Linked DNA regions of Callithrix jacchus. Each later gene encodes a partner of the first gene's protein in a complex. Links are inferred from orthologs where the notes say so. Each region holds a gene or a part of one and is shown in the gene's direction. Other genes may lie near its edges.

Region 1 (7,881 bases):
CCAATATTGCCAGAACTGACAAGATCATCTGTGGACAGCATGGGTCATAACAACACAATTTTGCCACCAATTTACTGCATGACCTTGGTTAAGACATATTGGCTGGCTTTCTTTTTTTCTTTTTTCTTTTTTTTTTTGAGACAGTCTCGCTCTGTCTCCAGGCTGGAGTGCAGTGGCGTGCTCTAGGCTCACTGCAACCTCTGACTCCCTGGTTCAAATGCTTCTTCTGCCTCATCCTCCCATGTAGCTGGGATTACAGCCATGTGCCACCATGCTCAGCTAATTTTTGTATTTTTAGTAGAGACAGGGTTTCACCATGTTAACCAGGGTGCTGTTGATCTCCTGACATTGTGATCTGCCCACTTCAGCCTCCCAAAGTGCTGGGATTACAGGCAAGAGGCACTGAGCCCAACCGACTTACCGGCTTTCAATTGCCTTCATTTCTTTATCTGCAACATGAAAAGTGTGAACTAAAAGATATCTTAAGCTCCTTCTAGGCATAAAATCCTATGATTCCTTGACTGTATGTTTCTCTTGGAAGGTTTCTTATATTTTCATCAATTCTAAATCATAAAAACCCCATATCCTCTTTTCTGCCCTGGTGACAAAAAAACAAAAAGTAAAAGCATCAAAAAGTCCCCAAACCCATGCATGTCCTAAGAAAATTCCTAAGAAATAAGACCAGAGTGGAATTATTAATAACTTACTTTGCGTAACAGTTGATAAATCACCTTAATTACATATACTCATTTGACCTCGCCAGTCAGTAGAGCACAGGTATTCCTGCTCTTTATAGATGAGGAAACTGACGCTCGGGGAGGTTAATTTAGCTCTTTAGGCCTTATAGTTAATAAAAAGGAGAGCTAGAAAGTTGTATATGAATTCTTTTTCCTAAGATGCTATATACAGGCTTTAAAAATAATTTGGCATAAAGATTAGTCTTGAGAGTACTGGATTCTTTTCTAAACATTTTGAAGTTTTTATTCCCTCTAATTAGGTCATGCCAAAACCATAACACATTACCCCAAGCTAGTGGATATTAGAGATTAGAGGGAAAGGTACACAAAAGAGGGCAAGAAGCCTTCTAGACAGGTGGTTGGGAAATTACTTTTCCTTATAGCAGGACCTGTTAGATTTCATGATTTCTTTCGTCAGTAACACAACACAAAATATCAAGTTCTATTTTAAAAGAATTATTATTATAGCTAGTGTTCAATTTATGCAAACCAATATTAAAGAAAAAATTCGTCTACTGTCCTGATCACTCCAGCAAATCAAACCTTTTATTTTCCTGTGATCTCTGCTAGTTCTCATCTTTATACACATGATTTTTTTTTTACTGATTGTATTTATAATGTAGACATATATTTTTAAGTATCAGAAATCCATAATTTTCATAAGAGGACACTTCAATTTTAATAACTATTTTTAGACTATTTTCCTCATTCTGATTTTATTTCATCTGCTTATTGTTTTCTCCTGAATTCACATCTTTTCATCAGAACAAAAAGAATACAACCTGGTTTTCAGAAGTTTAAAAAAAATTTTCAAATATACGTCAGAGAATGTCATCATTTTTATATACTCTACCAGGGACTCCTGAAACCAAACACTTAAGAAAGGTTATGTCTGGAGAATTTTTCAAAATCTATATGCATTTCAATGGTGGAGAAATAGTTGTCTGGAATCAGGAGGCTGAAATTATGACCCAGAAGATTTCTTCCAACTTTTGAACTTCTATGACAACTCCTGGTAGAGACAGGTTTCCTGGTAGGGATTGAGCAAGAAGCATGCACAATTACATTATGAGTCTTGATAAAGCTGGAGTTTCAGGTTGATGGTTAGGAGTTCGGCTGGGTCGTGGGATGCTTGTTTTCCTGGTTACTGGATATGCCATGGGCTTTATATCTTGGGTTGTCCTGTGGTAACTGAAGCCACTGTTGCGGTGGAAAATGATGGCAGTTTGAATGAGATAATTTAGAGTGACCTGTGGAAATCTGAGGCTGTGTCCTTAACGTACAAGACCTTGTATATGTGGCACTGTTGTATGGCACATATCTCTTTAGTTCCCTTCAACTGAAATGACAAATAGGTGAGAAACTAAATCGTAATTTGATGGCCTAATATTAAAAAAAATTAATTGGACAAAAATGCTACATAAGGAACAATTCAGAAGAATTGCTGATTATTTCAAAACTATTATCTGAATAGTATTTATATGTAGCTAAAGAAAGCACTGCGATCCCAGAACTTTCCATCCAATTTCCAAAAACCAAACCTTATATATAATGTAAAATGACACCCAAAATTCTAAATCCAGTCTAATTCAGTAGTATATAGCTTATTCCCAGTGATTTCTCACATTTGCAAGCCCGTTGCACGTTGGTTTCATGTGTCACCAAAACCTTTGTATTACTCTTATAAAACCACATCACTTTGTATAAAAAGTGACTGGAAGAATTTAATATTGTAAAACTGCACGTGCCTCGCGTGACCTGAGCAGAAAACTCCTGGTTTGGGATTTTCTCACAGGCGTGCCTAAACTGACCTCTACTCCTAGCAGGTAAATTGCTAGAAGAAGCAAGTGTCAGCCCAAAGAAAACCCCTGTTGTGTGCTTTTTTTTTTCTCTTTAAACTGATCGCTTTTTAGGTGGAGTTCCCGCTGCATTCTCTAGACCAAAGTCCTTGCTTGCCACCAGATTACCATCTTTTTCACCAATTTGCCACCTCCCTACCCTTCTCCTTTCCAAAAGCCCTCACTGGAAAGAACTTTCTCTCTTGACCCCCCTATTCCATCTAGTTCCAAACGCTCCCAGAGCCTCCCACCTCCGTCGGCTTCCCCTCTCCCGCCTAGAATCCAGGTTCCCAAACCACTTAAGAGGAAATTCACACCCCTCGCCCCCTTCCCGGGCGTCCGGAGGAGACGCAGGGGTGGGGGTGCGGGGGGAGCAGGGTTTTCTGGGGTCTCCTGAGTCTTTCTCGCGCACCCTCAGGAGGTGTTGCAGGGGGAGAGGAGCGCGGGTGGGTGGGACCGGGCCGGGTGGGGGAGGGGTGAGGGCGAGGAGGAGGAGGAGGCGGCGGCGGCGGAGGAGTGGTGTGTGTGCGAGCGTGTGTGGCTGGGGGAAGCCATTGCCTGTTTAATAGTTGCTGTTGCTGCACTTCCGCTTCTCTCCCAGCGAGAGAGAGACACGAGTGGCCAGGCCCAGCCGCAGCCGCAGCAGCAGCCGCCGCGGCGGCACGGAGGAGCCAGACACAAAGAGAGGTACGGGGATCCCCCCAGCGGCCCGCCGCCCCCCGGCCGCGCCGCCGGCCTCGGGGACACCCCTCGCCGCCGTCCCCGACCCGCACCGCCCCGGCCGCCGGGGCGCCGGACACGGGGCCGGGGGAGGGGTGGTGGCGGAGAGGGGCTGGGGAGCCCCAGGGGTCCCGGGCCCGCCCGCGGGGGATGGGCAGGGACCCCGGGCCGCGTGGGTTGCGGGGCCGCCCGCGTCGGGGCTGGGGGTCATTGTGGCTCGAACTGTCAGCGCTGCCCCAGGAGCCCCCCCACTGGCCGCCGAGGGGGCCGGGAGCGGGGGTGGGGGGGAGTTGGGGGAGCCCTGTTTTCCCCAGGGGCGCGGGCTCCTGGGGATTTACCCCTCCGGGGCGGAAGGGCTCATTGTTATTTCTTCGCTGCGGAGGCCGAGCCCCCCCCACCCCACGCCGCAGCCCCTATCCCCCTCCACGAGTGGCGAACGGGCGTGTGCTCCGGACCCCCGCCCGGCTGCGCAGCCCTGAGCCGGGCGGCCCAGAGGCAGGCCGCCCGGGAGGGGCGTCGGGGCGCGGCGCGGGGGGGGGGGGGCTCGGGCCTCGTCGCCCCTGCCCCCCGCCGGCCTCTCCCTTCCCCCACCCGGGCACCCGTTCCCCGCCTCCGTCCCCCTGTTTCGGCTTCCTCTCTTACTCCTTCCCGCCCCTCCTCTCTTCCCGACCTCGCCAAACTCCGTTCGTGGCCCCACAGTCTCACCCGGGCCACCGGTCCCCCACGACCCCCGGAAAGCGTACAAAAACAGCCCCGAGGCCGGCCGGCCGCCGGGACCTTCCCTCCCTGCCCCGCTGCGGCGCCCCGCGCCCCCACCCTGCCCTTCTTCGCCTCCTGGTTACTCCCTCCCTGCCCTGCGGAGAGCCCCGGGGGGTGAGGGAGGGGCTGCTCTCCGAGCTCCAGACCGTTTTCCCACCGCGTTCCCTACTTGGGGCCAAAAATAAACAAACAAGCCGCGTCCGATTTGCAAAAGCCTTAATGGGCCTGCAGACTTTGAAAAGCGAGTGGAGGGCGGTGGGCGGCCGCGTGCGCCCCTGGTCAATGCCCTCCTGACAGCACCCGAGTTCCTTATTTACACTGGCTGCATGGTTTGTGTGTTTCTGTTTTGTTTCCCTCCCCCTGCAGGGGCTGTTTGCGGGGTGGGGTGGGGGGTTCGATATGTCGGATGACGATTCGAGGGCCAGCACCAGCTCCTCCTCATCTTCATCTTCCAACCAGCAAACCGAGAAAGAAACAAACACCCCCAAGAAGAAGGAGAGTAAAGTCAGCATGAGCAAAAACTCCAAACTCCTCTCCACCAGCGCCAAGAGGTACCGTACTCTTTTTTCCACAGGCTTCCTATTTTCCGAACTGCCTCTTGCTGCATTTGGTCTGCCTCCCAACGAGGATAGCTTAAACGCTCCTCACGGTTTGTGTGTTCTTAAAAATGAAAGAAGGGCCTTGGAAACCCTAATTATTTTCTCTATTGCTGCTTCTGTTTTTTAAAATCATTGCCCACATGCAGCTGTTGCGGCTTGGCTCTCGCTTTTCTCGCCGAAGTTTGTAACAATCCTCATCTACTTTTATTAGCGAGCCCCAAATCTGATTTCAGATTCCTTGTCCCACTTAATGGTTAATCTGTGACCTTCCCCAAGGCCATCATCCTGTTTCTTAATTACTAATAACCTGCTCAGACAACTGCATCGAAATGGATTCTATGACCATTTTACCTTCTTTTCACCTGTTGCATGGATGATCTTTTTGGAATAGAGCTTTCTCCACAAATTGTAAAAGGAATAAGAAACTCATATGAGCAGGTACAAAATTTCGTAGGTGAAGACAGATATTCTCTGATGGAATTTAAAGAGATTTTTCTGAGAGTTGAGACGAATGAATCAGTAAGTGATGTAAAATGGTTATTGTAGGTTATTTTTGTGATTCTCTTTGAGAACTTCAGTTTACCAAATTTCAGGGAGACTTTTTTTTCATGCTATTTGCTGTCCTCATGCTGTAAAAATGCTACTTTGCCTTATTTTTTTCCAATTTAAGCTGTGTCTCTTTTTCTTTATTCTTTTCCTCTTACAGCTCTTGGAGGTAGCTACTTTTTACACCTGCCATTCTTCAGTAATATCCTCTGATCCCCATGACACTTAAAATAATCTTTAGTAGATTCCTAGGAACTCCGAGACACCTTTTTAGAAATCCTTCTGCTCTCAGAGTTAGACAGTTAAAAAGGTGGCAAAACGGGAACATAGTAGGGAGTCCGAATGGTGGGTTAGGTAGAGAAACCCTTAAAAATTTTTAATGTAAAGTGGAACATGAGACTTTAGATCTGTCCACTGAGTAGTGAGCCAGGAAGTCAGGGTTTGAGGGTTTGTTCTGTCATTCTGCCTGACTTGTAATTTGAAAATTTGGCAGTGTTTTGGTGACCTAACCATGGGCTGATGGAGTGACTTTTAAAAAATAGTGTGGAGGTCTTAGGTGCCTCTGCAAGATTGTTCTCATTTTTATAGGTTTGGTTTGATCGTAAATCTTCCCAGGAGGCCTAACTGACCCTCACTGATTAGCCCTGTTTGGTTCTCCTGGAACCTGGCATCCACCCTGCCCACTTGGGATGGGCCTTTTCGCAGCACTGCCCTCCACCTCAAGCCTCTAGGCTCCCTGATCCTCATTTAGCTTTTGGCCTCATGTGCTCACGCCAGGATACTTGCTTTGGGCAATTTGCATCTTTATATTTTGCTAGATATCCCTGGTGTACATGAATATATATTTGGGGGTAAAGACACAGGTATCAAATAGAAAATATTCTGCTTTTGTTATGAGTGAATTGTTTTTTTCACTAGACATACTTTGTCCATTTATTTTAAACAAGTTAAAAATTTGTTTGAAAGTGCTGGGAAAGAGATGGTAGATTTTAAAAAATGAAAGGTGGGAGGCTACAAATAGTAATTTTACATGTAAATGAACATCAAGGCTTTCGTTTTGTTTTGTTTTTGCAGCGAATTTAGCTCCCTGATACCTTGCTGAAGAGTAGTAGCCATCAGTGTTAAAGCAGACCTAAGGTTGATAGCAAAAGGTAAAAAAAACCTGAGAGGGACAGTGTATCCAGGAAAGAGAAAGGGGAAAATTGATGTTAGTGGGATCCTATAGAACCTGTTCCGTGAAATATATTGATTTGGAAGGTAGGTGTTGCCCATAAAATTGGAAGGGGCACATTTACCAGGAGAAGGAGTGAAAAAGAAGCCTGAATTGGCAGACTCACAGCCTAACTGCATGCTGGAAAGTGGTTTCTAAACCGTGGGTAGGGGAAAGCCCCCATTGAAAGTGGCCTGAACAAGAATGACTGACTCTCTGGATGTAGGTATGAGTTCCTCCTGCAGATCTCTTGCCAGGTTTTGGAAATGCACATGCTGACTGTCAAGATGAAGTTGATAAAGCTTTTTGGTATGAACACTTCTTAGGTATTAACTGCCTCTTTAGTGGATATTTTATAGTGGGAGTTGGGTGGGCAAGGAGGTCTGAAGTCAGTATGTATTTTTATATGCATTGTGCTCCGGTGAGGAAGTTTTTGCCTGTGTGTGTAGGTCTTAAAATAGTTATTCGAAAAGACGCAGGTAAAGAATCCGGAAACCAATGTTCCAAACTTTTAGTGTAATGTAGTCATGAGTCAAACAGCAGGAGTATGAATGTCTCAGAAATGAAACGATTTTTGGTAGCAGTAAATAAATACGTGTCAATTGAGACTGTGAACAAACCCCTTTCTAAAGTTGACAGATTTGTAGGGACAGGAAATGTCCTCCAGTAGGAAGGTTTGTAGAACCTCCCCCAGCCGTCGCCCTGAAAACCTATTCCTCACCGCATATAGTTAGCCTGTCCTACGCAGAAAACCTTTGGAAAGGGAAACGCATCCTTTATTAGATTGCTGTGTGTGTGTGTTTAAAATTTTTTAACTACGGTGCTGCCTTGGTGAGATTTTTAAGTTGTAACAGCCCCATTGGGCTTTATATCATGGGAGGAGGAAAGGTTATAAAATTAGGCACCGTTTAGAAGGTGGAAGAAACTTAGAGGCCCCAAACTTTGTCGTATTAATTGATGCTCTAAGTGCCTAGGTGAGCGAAAGACAAAGGCCAGGGCTTGGTGTGAACTGCCTGGTGGCTTCGGCCTAGGAGTGGGGGATGGGGCCCTTTGTGAAGTCCAGGGTTGGTGCGGAGGGAGAACACTGCAGGTCCCGGGTCTGTGCCCAGTGTGTGCTGAAGAGCGGACCACGAAGGAAGGGGCAGACCCTGGGAAGTTAAAGGTCGCCCTGGAAAAAGCAGGTCCGGGGAGGTGGGCCTAGAGTCCCGGCGAGCGTGCGAGGCGGAGGCAGGGTCCGGTGCACCTGTGCGGTCGCCGGCCGGCCACTGGGGTCCGCAGTGCCCGAGGGGCGGGCGGGGGCGTTCGCGCTCCGCGTTCGCGCGTGGCTTTGGGCCGAAGTTCTGGGCGCCGGGAGTGGCGAGCTGGGGCGGCGCGGAGCAGCCCCCGTGCGGGCACCCTGTTCTCCCCCCCCCCCCCCCCCGCAAGTTCACCGGCGCGACGGGAGCCGTCAGGGGCGCGCACGGGGTGGGGGC
Region 2 (7,507 bases), on another chromosome or scaffold:
TATCCACATGCAGAAAAATAAAACTACACCCCCATCTCTACAAAAATCAAAATGGATTAAAGACAAATCTAAGACCTCAAACGATGAAATGACTACAAGAAAGTATTAGGGAAACTTTCCAGGACATTGGACTGGGCAAAGATTTCTTTCAAATACCCCCCAAGCACAGGCAACCAAAGCAAAACTGCACAAATGTGATCACATCAAGTTAAAAAACTTCTGCACCACAAAGGAAACAATGAAATGGAGACACAACCCACAGAATTGGAGTAAATATTTGTAAACTATCCATCTGACAAGGGATTAATAACCAGAATATATAAGGAGCTCAAACAACTCTATAGGAAAATAATAATTCAAATCAAAAATGGACAAAAGATTGGAATAGACATTTCTTAGAAGACGACATACAAGTGGCAAATGGATATATGAAAATGGGCTCAATACCACTGATCATCAGAGAAATGCAAATCGAAACTACAATGAGATATTAGCTAACCTCAGTTAAAATGTCTTTTATCCAAAAGAAAGGCAATAACATGCTGGCAAGGATATGTAGAAAAGGGAACCCTCATACACTGTGGTTGGGAATGGAAATTAGTACAATCACATTGGAGAACAGTTTGAAGGTTCCTCAAAAACTAAAAATAGAGCTACCATATTAACTAGCAATCCTACTGGATACTTCTAGGTATATACCCAGAAAAAATACTATTAAGTATGTACCCAAGAGAAAGGAAATCAGTATGTCAAAGAGATATCTGCACTCTCATGTGTATTGCAACACTATTCACAATAGCCAAGATTTGGAAGCAATCTAAGCATCCATCAATAGACAAATGGGTTGACCCAGCAATCCCATTACTGGGTATATATCCAAAAGACTATAAATCGTTCTACTATAAGGACACATGTACACGAATGTTCATTGCAGCACTGTTTACAATAGCAAAGACCTGGAACCAACCCAAATGCCCATTGATAATAGACTGGATTGGAAAAATGTGGCACATATACACCATGGAATATTATGCAGCAATCAGAAATGATGAGTTTGTGTCATTTGTAGGGACATGGATGAATCTGGAAAACATCATCCTCAGCAAACTGACACAAGAACAGAAAATGAAACACCGCATATTCTCACTCATAGGTGGGTGATGAAAAATGAGAACACATGGACACAGAAAGGGGAGTACTAAACACTGGGGTCTATTGGGGGGGAAAGGGGAGGGTCAGTGGGAGGGGGAGGTGGGGAGGGATAGCCTGGGGAGAAATGCCAAATGTGGGTGAAGGGGAGAAGGAAAGCAAAGCACACTGCCATGTGTGTACCTACGCAACTGTCTTGCATGCTCTGCTCATGTACCCCAAAACCTATAATCCAATAAAAAATTAAAAAAAAAATAGACAAATGGGTAAGGAAAGTGTGGTACACATACACAATGGAGTACTGATTAGCCATAAAAAGGAGAACCTTTCATTTGCTACAACATGGATGAAAAATAGGGGTCATTATGTTAAATAAAATAAACCAAACACAGGCAAACAACCAATTGTACATTCTCACTAATAAGTGGAGCTAAAAATTAGAACAATTGAACTCATGAAGATAGCAGAATGATGGTTACCAAAAGCTGGGAAGGGTAGCCAGGAGTGTGTAGGGGGGTGATTAATGGGTTCAAAATACATGAGATAGAATGAATAAGATCTAGTATTTTATAGCATAACAGGGTGACTACAGACAATTTATCATACATTTTAAAATAATTAAAAAACATATAATTGGATTGTTTGTAACACAAAGAAGTGATAAATTCTTGAGGTGATGGATACCCCCACTTACCCTGATGTGATTATTACAGACCGTATGCTATACCTGTGCATCAAAATATCTCATGTAGCCCATAAATACATACATCTACCACAGACACAGAAAATTTAAAATTTAAAACAAAATTACTTGGGTAAATTTTATATTCTGTGTATTTAACGATTAAAAATTAATATAACCTGAGAATGTCCCTAGCTCGGTGATAAGAACATAGTTGGTTATCAGATGTCAATTCCCTTCTCACCACTCACTGGTGGGATACTTACCTCGGGGTCATGCGAAATAAATCACTCACCTGCAGATGTTAAAAAAATAATAGTCACATCAGTCACATGAAAAGAATTAGCTTCTGGAAGTAAGAAACAGATGACGGCACGTGAGGGAGAGCACCAGCCACTATTCTCTGCATCCAACCCTCCTTAAAAGCAGCTTCCAGACATGGGCAAAGCATCTAGGTGTGGGGTGATAACCAGTGTCAAAGAAAGCAGCCCGGACTCCCCCATCTTGCAGATATTTTACTAAATCAGATAATGAAGACATGGGAGGGGGTGCGCACCCAGGACCACAGGCTACTGGGCTTCCATTACTTCCCAGTCTCATAGAAGCCCCCTGGCTGTCCAGAGCCTCTGAAGCCCCCCGCCAGCCCAACTCTGACTTCTCTCCTCCCACCTCTCTTCCTTCTCAGCGGCATTTCTCCACACACCCTTTCAAGGCTCCGCTCCTCCCACGGCTCCTCCCTCTCTCCTCTCACGGCTCCTCCTCCCTCCCCTTTCCCGTCAGACTTGCCTCTGAGCGGAAACTGAAAGTGAAATAGGGAGCTGGCTACCCGCGTTGAGTCCCCTGTAAAGGTGAGTGAACCTCACTAAATCAAGGAACCCCTGCCCTCCTAGTGGACCTCTCCCCTGCCCCAGGGCTGCAGAGCCCCTTCCAACCAGTCTCCATCCTTGAGCCGGTCCCATTTGCCCCTTCTCCCACCGGGGATCCCTCAATCCAAGCCCCTCTGTGCTTCCGAGGCTGGTCTCCTAACCTGGAAGGAGGCTGGGGTATGGACATGACTGCTGCGGAGTTACCCAGAAGGGGTAGGGTTCCGGGCACTTGGGAGGAGACTGGGGTGTGGGACGTGACTGCGGAGTTACCCAGAAGGGGAAGGGTTCCGGCTGCCCCCTACTTGGGAGGAGGCTGGGGTGTGGACGTGACTATGGAGTTACCCAGAAAGAGAAGGGGCCTGGCTGCCCCATTGCTGGCACCTGAGCTGGGATGAGAGCTGGGTGCAGCTGAGAGAGCCAGCACTACTGCCTAGCCAGGAGCGTGGGGGAGATCTGCAATCCTGGAGACTCCCAGGTCCAAAAGTCCTCCAGAGGTGAGGGGCAGGCTGCTTAGGATGTTCAACCAGAAATGTATAGGCCTTCAAAATTACTCTTTGTCATAGAAGAAGTGATGTCAGGAACTAAACTAAGTTTGGAGCAGCTGAAAGAAGAGCCCAGGGAGTGCTGGCCACAGTTCCTGTTGCTCTGTGTGAATACATTCACATATACATGCTCATGTACATACATATACACCTGACTTTTGCCAATATTGGAATGATTAATGAAGATGTATTCAAAGCATGTGTAGTATCTCTGGCACATGGAAGGTACATGGTTAAAAGTAGCTATTTTATGACTAGTTTCTCAGCAACATGGAGGCCTGCTGGTACCAGAAAGAAGATGAATGGGCACTGAGGGTTTAAGCAGGAATGGACATGAGAGAACTGTCAGCTTTATGAGGTTCTTGCCAATTTTCACTCCCTCCTTTAGGGACTCAGTTTCTCCTTCTGTCCCAGTGGATCAATGGGCCAAACAGTGGAGGAGTTCTTGTTATTCAGAAGAATAAACTTATTAAACAAACTATTTGGTCCATGCAAAAGTAATACTGTTTTTGCCATTAATTATTTTTCCATTAATATTATGCCCTTTTTTTTTTTTTTTTGGAGATGGAGTCTCCCTCTGTTGCCTGTGCTGGAGTGCAGTGGCACCAACTCAGCTCACTGCAACCTCCACCTCCCAGGTTCAAGCAATTCTCCTGCCTCAGCCTCCTGAGTAGCTGGGATTACAGGCACCCACTACCACTCCCAACTATTTTTTGTATTTTTAGTAGAGACAGAGTTTCACCATGTTGGTCAGGCTGGTCTCAAACTCCTGACCTCAGGTGATCCACCCACCTCGACCTCCCAGAGTGCTGGGATTACAGGCGTGAGCCACCATTTTTATTTTTTTATTTTCCGTTTCATCATTTTGTTTTTCTTTTTTTAGTTTTAATTTTTCTGGGCATGTAGTAGGTATATTTATGGGCTACATGGAACATTTTGATACAGGTATACAGAGCCACCATTTTTATTTTTTTATTTTCCTTTGCATCATTTTGTTTTTCTTTCTCTAGTTTTAATTTTTCTGGGCACATAGTAGGTATATTTATAGGCTACATGGAATATTTTGATATAAGTATACAATGTGTAATAACCACATCAGGATAAATGGGGCATCTAGCACCTTAAGCATTGATCATCTGTGATAAACTATGCAATTATACTCTTTCAAATGTACAATTAAATTATTGACTATCGCCACCTGTTATGCTATCAAATACTAGATCTAATTCACTCCATTTTTGTACCCATTAACCATCCTACTTTTCCCCCAACACATCCTCCCTACTATTCTTCCCAGCCTCTGGTAACCATCTTTCTATTATCTAACTCCATGAGTTCAATTGTTTTGATTTTTAGCGCCTACAAATGAGAACATACAATGTTTGTCTTTCTGTGCCTGGCTTATTCCACTTAATGTAGTGACCTCCAGTTCCATTCATGTTGTTGTAAATGACAGGATCTCATATTTTATGGCTGAATAGTACTCCATTTTGTATATGTACCACATTTTATTTATCTATGTATCTGTTGATGGACACTTAGGTTGCCACCAAATCTTGGCTATTGTGAAACATACTGCAATAAACATGAGTGTGCAGATATCACTTTGATACAGTGATTTCCTTTCTTAGGGGTATATACCTAGCAGTGGGATTGCTGGATCATATGGTAACTCTATTTTCAGTTTTTTGAAGAACCTCCAAACTGTTCTCTGTAGTGATCGTACTAATTTACATTTCCACCAACAGCTTATGAGGGTTCCCTTTTCTCCACACCCTCACCAGCATTTGTTATAGCCTGTTGGATAAAAGACATTTTAACTGAGGTGAGATATCTCATTGTAGTTTTGATTTGCATTTTACTGATAATCAGTGATGTTGAGCAACTGTTCATATGCCTGTTTGTCATTTGTATGTCTTTTGAGAAATGTCTATTCAGATCTTTTGTCCATTTTTGAACCAGATTATTACATTTTTTTCCTATAGAGTTGTTTGAGCTCCTTACATATTCTGATTATTAATCCCTTGTCAAATGGATAGTTTGCAAATATTTACTCCCATTCTGTGGGTTGTCTCTTCACTTTGTGGATTATTTTCTTTGCTGTGCAGCAGGTTTTCAATTTGATGTGATCCTATTTGTCCAATTTTGCTTCGGTTGCCTATGCTTGTGGGACATTTAAATGAAATCTTTGCCCAGTCCAATGTCCTGGAGTGTTTCTCCAATGTTTTCTTGTAGTCCTTTCATAATTTGAGGTCTTAGATTTAAGTCTTTAATCCATTTTGATTTTATTTTTGTATATGGTGAGATAGGGGTATAGTTTCATTCTTCTGCATGTGGATATCCAGTTTTCCCAGCAGCATTTATTGAAGAGACTGTCCTATCCTGTCTGTTCTTGGCACCTTTGTTGAAAGTGAGCTCACTGTGGATGTCTGGATTTGTTTCTGGGTTTTTTACTCTGTTTTATTGGTCTATGTGTCTGTTTTTATGCCAGTACCATGCTGTTTGGGTTACTTTGGCTCTATAGTATAATTTGAAGTCAGGTAATGTGATTCCTCCAGTTTTGTTCTGTCTGCTCAGGATAGCTTTGACTATTCTGGGTCTTTTGTGTAAATTTTAGGATTTTTTTTCCTATTTTTGTGAAGAATGCCATTGGTATTTTGATAGGAATTATGTTGACTTTTTGTTTTTCTTACACAGACTTTCTCATGTTCTCTATTCCCTTTCTTCTCTCCCAGGCAGCCCCACAAAGGTCTCCACACTACTGCTTAACAGGAAGGGCACAGCTATGGCTTCAGCAGCACGCTTGACAATGATGTGGGAGGAGGTCACGTGCCCTATCTGCCTGGACCCCTTCGTGGAACCTGTGAGCATCGAATGTGGCCACAGCTTCTGTCAGGAATGCATCTCTGAGGTTGGGAGAAATGGGGGTGGTGTCTGTCCTGTGTGCCGGCAGCGCTTTCTGCTCAAGAATCTCCGCCCCAACCGACAGCTAGCCAACATGGTGGACAACCTTAGAGAAATCAGCCAGGATACCAAAGAGGGCACACAGGGGGAACGGTGTGCAGTGCATGGAGAGAGACTTCACCTGTTCTGTGAGAAAGATGGGAAGGCCCTTTGCTGGGTGTGTGCCCAATCACGGAAACACCGTGACCACCCCATGGTCCCTCTTGAGGAGGCTGCACAGGAGTACCAGGTGAGGCCTTAGTGACACAAACAGGAGGAAAGAAGATGGGCCCTGATGAGTGCTTTGTTTTCAGAGTGGGTAATGGGAAGGGAACACCTCTGTATCAGAGGAGTTAGAGAAAGGAAGAATTTACCTCTCTCCATGTCTAATGTAGGAGGAGAATTATAAGCTAAACCCAACCTTCTCATTCCCCAGGAGTGAGAGATATGCATGAGAAAATGCTCAAAGATTACCCACACCCTATTACTTGGTCTGTCTAGAGACTAATATGCTGTCTTTCTCTGCAGGAGAAGCTCCAGGTGGCATTAGGAGAATTGAGAAGAAAGCAGGAGTTGGCCGAGAAGTTAGAAGTGAACATTGCAATGAGGAGAGCGGACTGGAAGGCAAGAATGACAGACTTATGGGGATCTTAGGCTAGAAGGCTGGGCAGGGTCCAGGGTCCTTGACTCACAGGCTTAACTGTAGCTGTGCCTGTCTAAGGAGTGAGAGAGTTGGTCCGTTTCACTCTCCAGCAACCATCTGCCCTCTAGGTTTCCAGATAGAGGGGAATAAAAATGATGCAGGTTCAAAAGAGAGCTCCCCATTAGGCCTGAGGATCAAGAATCCCGGAAGACGGTGCTGAGAGGATCTAGCTATACCCTAAAGTTTCGAGCTCCTCTGCGTCCAGTCGCAGAGGGGTGATGGCATCAGCACCTGGGTGTCTGAGACAAATATCCTAAGAGAGAAACCCAACTGCTAGCTAAGTGTTTCAGGAAGTGACAAGGGCTATGAGGAATAAACTTAAGAAAACCATCAAGGCCCGAAGTAGGAATACCCGTCAGACCAGGTGGTTACTTGACAACGTCCAGATCTCTGGTCCAAAATATAATGAAGAATCAGTGTTTTGTTCTGCACTGATGATTTCCTAGGAGAGGTGGGTCATGTCAGGGATGAAAGGGGACGGGAAGGAGCCCAATAGATCCCAGAAGAGGAACATTTGGGATTGAGGTAGGGTGTGAGTCGGGTTGTGATGACAAAACACAGGAAAGGCAAAGAATGTCCCCAACCCCCCTTTCCCAGGACTTAGAGGTTGTGGCATGAGCAT
Region 3 (7,602 bases), on another chromosome or scaffold:
TGAAACAAGCTACACCGAGTAATGGTTCAAGACCACCAAATGTATGGCCAAACTGCCTAGCTCTGTCACTTTTTAGCTGTGTGGCTTTGGAAAATTTATGTGCCTCTGTTTTCTCATCCATAAAAAGGGGACTATTTAATATTAGTTCTTACCTCATAGGAGAATTGTGAAGTTTAAATGAGTTAATAACTGTCAAGTGCTTGGAACAGTTCCTGGTATATAGCAAATATTCAATGAATATTGTGTGTGTGTGTGTGTGTGTGTGTGTGTGTGTGTGTATGTGTGTGTGTGTGTGTTTAGGGAGTAGTATGTCTAAAATTTCTAGCTCAGGTTAGAAGGTGATACCATGGCTGGGAGTGGTGGCTCACGCCTATAATCCCAGCACTTTGGGAGGCCGAGGCAGGCAGATCATGAGGTAAGGAGTTCGAGACCAGCCTGACCAATATGGTGAAACCCCATCTCCACTAAAAACACAAAAATCAGCCAGGCATGGTGGTGTACGCCTTATAATCCCAGCTACTCAGGAGGCTGAGGCAGGAAAATCGCTTGAACCCAGGAGGCGGAGGTTGCGGTGAGCCAAGATTGTGCCATTACACTCCAGCCTGGGCAACAAGAGCAAAACTCCGTCTCTAAATAAATAAATAAATAAATAAAGGAAACATAGATTCAATAACTAGTAAAGTTAATGTAAAGACAGCTGAATAAATTAAAGCAATGATAAGACACTATGGTAATCAGAAATGGTGGTTCATCAGATACACCAGGTTCTCCCTCCTTCCAGAGGTAAGATAACTGCTCTTCCTGGCCCCCTTGTGGTTGTGTAGGATTTTGTGATTCATTCAGGCCAATGAGTTGTAAACATCAGTGTCTTGGGTCTTTTTGCTGGTGTGAGTCCCTCTAGCATTCTTTCCCTCTGGCATGACTACTCATCAGTGTGGGTTCCCCAGTAGCTCTCATAAGCAGAGCCCCACCATGCCTGCCAGAGATGATTATGTAGTGTGAGCAAGAAATACACCTTTTGTTTTGTTTTAAGCTACTCAGATTTTGGAGTTGTTTCCACAACATAACCTAGTCTATCCCTATACCGATACTATTTTAACACATATCAAGTTCTTTAAAATTAAGTAATTACGCCAGGCTCGGTGACTCACGCCTATAATCCCAGCACTTTGGGAGGCCGAGGCGGGTGAATCACAAGGTCAAGAGATCAAGACCATCCTGGTCAACATGGTGAAACCCGTCTCTACTAAAAATACAAAAATTAGCTGGGCATGGTGGTGCGCGCCTGTAGTCCCAGCTACTCAGGAGGCTGAGGCAGGAGAATTTCCTAAACCCAGGAGGCGGAGGTTGTGGTGAGCCAAGATTGCGCCATTGCACTCCAGTCTGGGTAACAAGAGCGAAACTCCGTCTCAAAAAAAAAAAAATTAAGTAATTAATACTTAGTACTAATGGCGATGTGGGGAAACACTTTTAGATTTGCTAGTAGGAGTAATGATTCTTACAACCTTTTGGAAAGATAATTTGACAGCAGAGTCTATTAAAATGGAAAGGGGCCAGGCATGGTGGCTCACATCAGTAATCTTAGCACTTTGGGTGGCCAAGGGGGGCAGGGATCACCTAAGTTTGGGAGTTTGAGACCAGCCTGACCAACATGGAGAAAACCTACTCCATTAAAAATACAAAATTAGCCAGGCGTGGTGGCGCATGCCTGTAATCCCTGGGGCTACCGGGGAGGCTGAGGCAGAAGAATCGCTTGAACAGGGAGGTGGAGGTTGTGGTGAGCCCAGCTCTCACCATTGCACTCTAGCCTGGGCAACAAGAGTGAAACTCCGTCTCAAAAAAAAAAAGCTGGTAGTGGGGAAGGGCCAGGTACAGTTGTTCACGCCTGTAATCCCAGTACTTTGGGAGGCCAAGGGGAGAGGGAGTGAGTCACTTCAGATCTTGGAGTTCCAGACCAACCTGGCCAACATGGTGTAAACCCCGTCCCTACTAAAAATACAAAAAACTAGCCAGACGTGGTGGCGGGCGCCTGTAATCTCAGCTACTGCGGAGGCTGAAGCAGAATTGCTTGAACCCAGAAGGCGGAGGATGCAGTGAGCTGAGTTTGTGCCATTGCACTCCAGATTAGGTGACAAGAGTGAAACTCCATCTCAAAAAAAAAAAAAGAAAAGAAAAGAAAAAAGTGATACTATTTTACTTAAATTCCATTTTGGAAAATCCTTCCTTTTTGTTTTGTTTTTGAGACGGAGTCTCGCTCGATCACCCAGGCTGGAGTGAAGTGGCAGGTTCTCCTCTTACTGCAGCCTCTGCTCCCGAGGCTCAGGCGATCCTTCCACCTCAGCTTTGGAATTGCTGGGAAGACAGGTGCGAACTACCACACCTGGCTGTTTTTTTCCCTTGTATTTTGAGTGGAGATGGGGTTTCACCGTGTTGCCCAGCCTGGTCTAGAACTCCTGAGCTCAAGCGATCCTCCCGCCTCAGCCTCCCAAAGTGCTGGGATTACAGGCATAAGCCACGGCGCCCGGCCTGGGGAATCTTTTCTCCAGAAATAAAAGTCCTACCTCAAAAGGATTTTTATTTTTATTGTTGCGCTATTTGTAGGGGCTGAGAACGGAAAACAATCTAAACGAATATGGTTAACCATACTATTGAAATGTTAAAAGTACAAGTTTTACCTTTTTTATTGGCGTCAGGTAATGTCTACATACTAAACGAAGACAAACAAACAAAAAAATCTACACACAGAAACTAGAAAATTAAGCTGTGTTACCTGAAAGGAGTGGAGTGGTAAGTGATGGGGCCAGAGAGAACATTATCACGTTTTTCTTACTACATCTTGATAGCTTTTACAATTTGTATCACTTACATAACAAAATAAACTCAAGGAAAACTGAGAGAAAAAAGCTCTAAACCAATGAGTGTTACCCCAAGTCTTTACGCAATGAACGCAGTAATGTGGCCACCAGTCAAGGGTGGTAGGAGAGGCGGAGCCTCGGCAACATACTTTTGGCCACGCCCACTTTGCTCTGCCAGTAGCTTCTCACGTGTGTTTAACGCATGCGTAGTTACCTTAGTGTGCATTGCCTCAGAGGGGCGCCCCGCGGTTTTGGGTTTGGCCCCGTCAGGCTACCGTCGCGGTGACCGGAACGGCATTAGAGGTTTGCTTCCGGGCGTCTCTTTTGCTTCCCCTTCCCTCCATCACGCTTTCTCCCCTCCCCCTCCTCTCGTATCCCTTCGCTTTCGCTCTTTTCCGTCGAGGCAGACCCCCGAGTCGTGAGTCTGGGGTCTGGTTGGTGAAAAAGAGCCCTTACAACTGGAAGCAGGGAGGTGTGGGGAATACTGTTAATTGATTTATTTGGTGACCAAAGGCTTATCTGGGATGTTTTGTCTGTGGGAGGAGGTCGGGCGAGGGTGGGAAGGAAGTCGTCTCTTGAGGCGAGCGGGGGCGGGGCTGAACTGGGTTTGCGGATGGATGAGGCGCACCCCTAGCATTCTAGGGGTAGCACTGGGGTGGGCCGGTGTGTGGGCAAAGGAAAATGGAGGCGCTGAAAATCAGATTTGCCTTAACAGTTTGATTAAACAAGCATTTCACACAAATGTGTGAAGCATTTGGATTGTGGATATTAGGTAGCCACATTTTATTCCCAGGTTGCTTTACTTCTCTGGAGAAACCTTTTTGCTGCAAGCTTTTGTGTGCTTGAATACCATAGACTTTTTAAAAAGTTAATTTCCACATGAAAGCAAAGTAATGTAAGGGGAACAACTAATGAAAGAGAAAATAGGCCAGGCGTGGTGGCTCACGCCCGTAATTCCAGCACTTTGGGAGGCCAAAGTGGGCGGATGACCTAGATTGGGAGTTCGAGACCAGCCTGACCAAATTGGAGAAACCCCGTCTCTACTAAAAATACAAAAAATTAGCTGGGCGTAGTGGCACATGCCTGTAATTCCAGCTACTCGGGAGGCAGAGGCAGGAGAATAGCTTGAATTCGGGAAGTGGAGGTTGCGATGAGCCAACATTGCCCCATCGCACTCCAGCCTGGGTAACAAGAGCAAAACTCCGTCTCAAAAAAAGAAAATATTGAATTAGTGAGTTACAGATCAACTCCGTCCCCAGATGGGGGGTTTTGTTCAAATTAGGCATAACATGGCAAAGATTTATCACATTAGTTAAGGAACACATATAGACCACAAAAATACCACCTTCTATATTGGTTCTCTTCAGTTTTCTAAAAAATTATTTTTGAAGTTTTGTTTTGAGACAGGGTCACCCAGGCTGGAATGCATGGCACAAACAGCTCACTATAGCAGCCTCTCCTGGGCTCACGTGGTCCTCCCACCTCAGTAGCTGGGCCTAATGGCATATGCCACCACACCTGGCTAATTTTTGTATTTTTTTTGTAAAGATGGGTCTCGCCATGTTGCCCAGGCAGGTCTTGAATTCCTGCCCTCAGGTGACCCTCTGCTGAGATTACAGGCACAAGTCACTGTGCTGGCCCAAAACATTATTTTCAGTAGCTCCCTACTGCATAATGAATGTTTTCCATGCCCTCTCAAACTTTAAATGTTATTCAGGCCTGCTACTGTATAGCAGAAGAAATCTCAGCATCAGATTCTGGGGAATGAAGAGGGAGAACATGGACCATTTGAATAAATAACAGGCAGCAGGGTAGAAATGCTTTATTAGGGAATCAGTTCTCTATTGATTGTGGTTATAAGGACTCCAGTTTAATTTGTTTTCTGTTCCATGCAGAGGACAAAAGCATGTCTTCCCTTCCTGGGCGCATTGGTTTGGATGCAGCAACAGCTACAGTGGAGTCTGAAGAGATCAAAGAGCTGCAACAGGCAGTGGTTGAGGAACTGGGTATCTCTATGGAAGAACTTCGGCATTTCATCGATGAGGAACTGGAGAAGATGGATTGTGTACAGCAGCGCAAGAAACAGCTAGCAGAGTTAGAGACATGGGTGATACAGAAAGAATCTGAGGTGGCTCATGTTGACCAGCTCTTTGATGATGCATCTAGGTGAGAACTACATAGACAACAGAGGGAAATCTCTCCATTGGGAGATATCTTTAGGGCATAATTGTTCATGACATTATACTAAGCATTTATTTTAATTTTTTAATTTAATTTTTTTTTTTTTTGAGACAGAGTCTCACTCTGTCACCCAGGCTAGAGTGCAGTGGAGTGATCCCAGCTCACTGCAACCTCCATCTTTCAGGTTCAAATGATTCTCCTGCCTCAGCCTCCAGGCACCTACCACAATGCCTGGCTAATTTTTTGTATTTTTAGTAAAGACAGGATTTTACCATGTTGACCAGGCTGTGTACCAAGAATTTTATACTTTATGAAGTACAGATGTTTAGAACTTTACTCTTCCTCAAAGTTTATGGTCAAAAATCTGACCTCACAATCAGCCATTTATAGAACTTTTATCTGTCAGCAGCTGATACATGATCAGCAGTAAGGGAGTCCAAGTCTTAAGTCCCTTCCCCTTCTTCCTCCTGTGTTCTATCTTAGAAACAATTGCTTGTTCAGGGAGTGAGGTTTATAAAGAATTTCTGTCTTATGTAACTTTGAAGCATTATTAAGTTCCTATACTCCTAAAAGTTATTTTTGGTGATCTAGTTGTCATTTAGAATACCTTTTTTGTTTTTGAGACGGAATCTCGCTCTGTCTCGCCCAGGCTGGAGTGCAGTGGCATGTTCTTGGCTCACTGCAGCCTCTGCCTCCCAGTTTCAAGCAGTTCTCCTGTCTCAGCCTACTGAGTAGCTGGGACTACACGTGTGTCCCACCACACCCAGCTAATTTTTGTATTTTTTGTAGAGATAGGGTTTCACCATGTTGGCCAGACTGGTCTTGAACTCCTGACCTCAGGTGATCCGCCCACCTCGGCCTCCCAAAGTCCTGGGCTTACAGGCTCGAGCCACTGCACTTGACCTATATTTTTTATTTTATTTGTTTTTTTGAGTTGGAGTCTCACTCTGTCACCAGGCTGGAGTGTGGTGGTGCAGTCTCCTCTGCCTTCCAGGTTCAAGCGATTCCCCTGCCTCAGCCTCCCAAAGAGCTGGGACTGCAGGTATACACCACCTGGCTAATTTTTTTTTTTTTGTATTTTAGTAGACACTGTTTCACTGAGTTGGCCAGGATGGTCTCAATCTCCTGACCTCATGATCCGCCCCCCTCAGCCTCCCAAAGTACTGGGATTACAGGCATGAGCCACTGCACCTGCCCCATTTTCTTTTTTCTTTTCTTTTTTTTTTTTTTAAAGACAGAGTCTTGCTCTGTTGCCCAGGCTGGAGTGCAGTAGTGCCATCTTGGCTCACTGGAATCTCCGCCACCTGGGTTCAAGCAAGCACATCCATCTTATTTTTGTATTTTTAGTAGAGATGGGATTTCACCATGTTGGCCAGGCTAGTCTCAAATTCCTGACATCAAGTGATTGACCTGCCTCTGCCTCCCAAATTGCTGGGATTACAGGTGTGAGCCACCACTCCCAGCCAGGATACATTTTCAGGTAACAAGATAAATAATGAGGTAAGGTGGAAAGTACTGTACTTTGAGCTTATTTTGGGTTTTTGAGGAACTAGTCTGGAAACGAAACCACTATTTAAAACATTTTTCAGCCAGGTGCGGTGACTTATACCTGTAATTCCAGCACTTTGGGAGGCCGAGGTGAGTGGCTCACCTGAGGTCAGGAGTTTGAGACCAGCCTGGCCAACATGGTGAAACCTGCCTCTACTAAAAATATGAAAATCAGCTGGGTGTGGTGGCAGGCACCTGTAATCCCAGCTACTCACGAGGCTGAGGCAGGAGAATCACTTGAACACAAGAGGTGCAGGTTGCCGTGAGCCAGGATCTCACCATTGCACTCCAGTCTGAGCGATAAGAGTGAAACTCCATCTCAAAAAAGAAAACATTTTTCTATAGGAAAAGCATTCTAAATTCTAAACAGAGACACTTTGGAATGTGGCCATTTAAATTGAGGACAGTCTGTACTTAAAGATATTTGAATTATGGTGGATTCTATACCTGTACTCCCTCTACTGGCTTTGACCTTTTCTACATGTGTTCCAATATTAGGGCAGTGACTAATTGTGAGTCTTTGGTGAAGGACTTCTACTCCAAGCTGGGACTACAATACCGGGACAGTAGCTCTGAGGATGAATCTTCCCGGCCTACAGAAATAATTGAGATTCCTGATGAAGACGATGATGTCCTCAGTATTGATTCAGGTAAGGGATGAACTTTTGATAGGAAAGTCTCAGAATTGAAGTTAAAACACTGGAATATGAGCAAATAGAAGATAGTAGAAGAGAGGAGAAACCTCATATTTCAAATTGCCCAAGTTGGCTATTAGAGGAAAAAAATGCAACATTGTTAGTATCATAGATGTTCCCTATGTGCTACACCCTGATTGCATTACTTTGCTTTCCTCATTCTGTGTAACCCCTGGAGTATTCCATCAAAGAGCGGAATTGCCAGGTAAGTGTATGTTTTATTGCTAGGATATAAAAAAACACAGTTGGTTTTTGTGTGTTGATCTTGCAGCCTGCAACCTCATTAAACTCACATAGCTCTAGAAGCTTTGTGTCGATTGCGT

The links.
Region 2: the proteins of UBE2E1 (region 1) and TRIM21 are in contact, whole or in part, in a crystal structure (PDB 6FGA), measured with the Homo sapiens proteins. The link is inferred for Callithrix jacchus from reciprocal best matches to the Homo sapiens genes UBE2E1 and TRIM21. Residues at the interface, in NP_003332.1 of Homo sapiens: Lys43, Lys50, Arg51, Lys54, Pro107, Phe108, Asn138, Trp139, Ser140, Pro141, Ala142, Thr144; in NP_003132.2 of Homo sapiens: Pro17, Ile18, Cys19, Leu20, Asp21, Glu38, Cys39, Gln42, Val43, Pro52, Arg55.
Region 3: the proteins of UBE2E1 (region 1) and SETDB1 are in contact, whole or in part, in a crystal structure (PDB 8IYA), measured with the Homo sapiens proteins. The link is inferred for Callithrix jacchus from reciprocal best matches to the Homo sapiens genes UBE2E1 and SETDB1. Residues at the interface, in NP_003332.1 of Homo sapiens: Asn125, Ser126, Gln127, Val129, Cys131, Leu132, Lys136, Asp163, Pro164, Leu165, Val166, Gly167, Ser168; in NP_001138887.1 of Homo sapiens: Glu868, Gly869, Tyr870, Glu871, Ser872.

What each region holds. Positions count from the first base shown.
Region 1 is NC_133518.1:62,150,851-62,158,731, forward strand, and holds the start of UBE2E1 (ubiquitin-conjugating enzyme E2 E1), read left to right. Parts: upstream 1-3,155; 5' UTR 3,156-3,262; intron 3,263-4,420; 5' UTR 4,421-4,453; coding exon 4,454-4,605; intron 4,606-7,881. UniProt on the Homo sapiens protein: Accepts ubiquitin from the E1 complex and catalyzes its covalent attachment to other proteins. Catalyzes the covalent attachment of ISG15 to other proteins. Mediates the selective degradation of short-lived and abnormal proteins.
Region 2 is NC_133511.1:69,714,578-69,722,084, reverse strand, and holds the start of TRIM21 (E3 ubiquitin-protein ligase TRIM21), read left to right. Parts: upstream 1-2,609; 5' UTR 2,610-2,679; intron 2,680-4,987; 5' UTR 4,988-5,064; intron 5,065-5,974; 5' UTR 5,975-6,024; coding exon 6,025-6,432; intron 6,433-6,710; coding exon 6,711-6,806; intron 6,807-7,507. UniProt on the Homo sapiens protein: E3 ubiquitin-protein ligase whose activity is dependent on E2 enzymes, UBE2D1, UBE2D2, UBE2E1 and UBE2E2.
Region 3 is NC_133519.1:10,820,515-10,828,116, forward strand, and holds the start of SETDB1 (histone-lysine N-methyltransferase SETDB1), read left to right. Parts: upstream 1-3,368; 5' UTR 3,369-3,596; coding exon 3,597-3,627; intron 3,628-4,750; coding exon 4,751-5,021; intron 5,022-7,082; coding exon 7,083-7,234; intron 7,235-7,602. UniProt on the Homo sapiens protein: Histone methyltransferase that specifically trimethylates 'Lys-9' of histone H3. H3 'Lys-9' trimethylation represents a specific tag for epigenetic transcriptional repression by recruiting HP1 (CBX1, CBX3 and/or CBX5) proteins to methylated histones.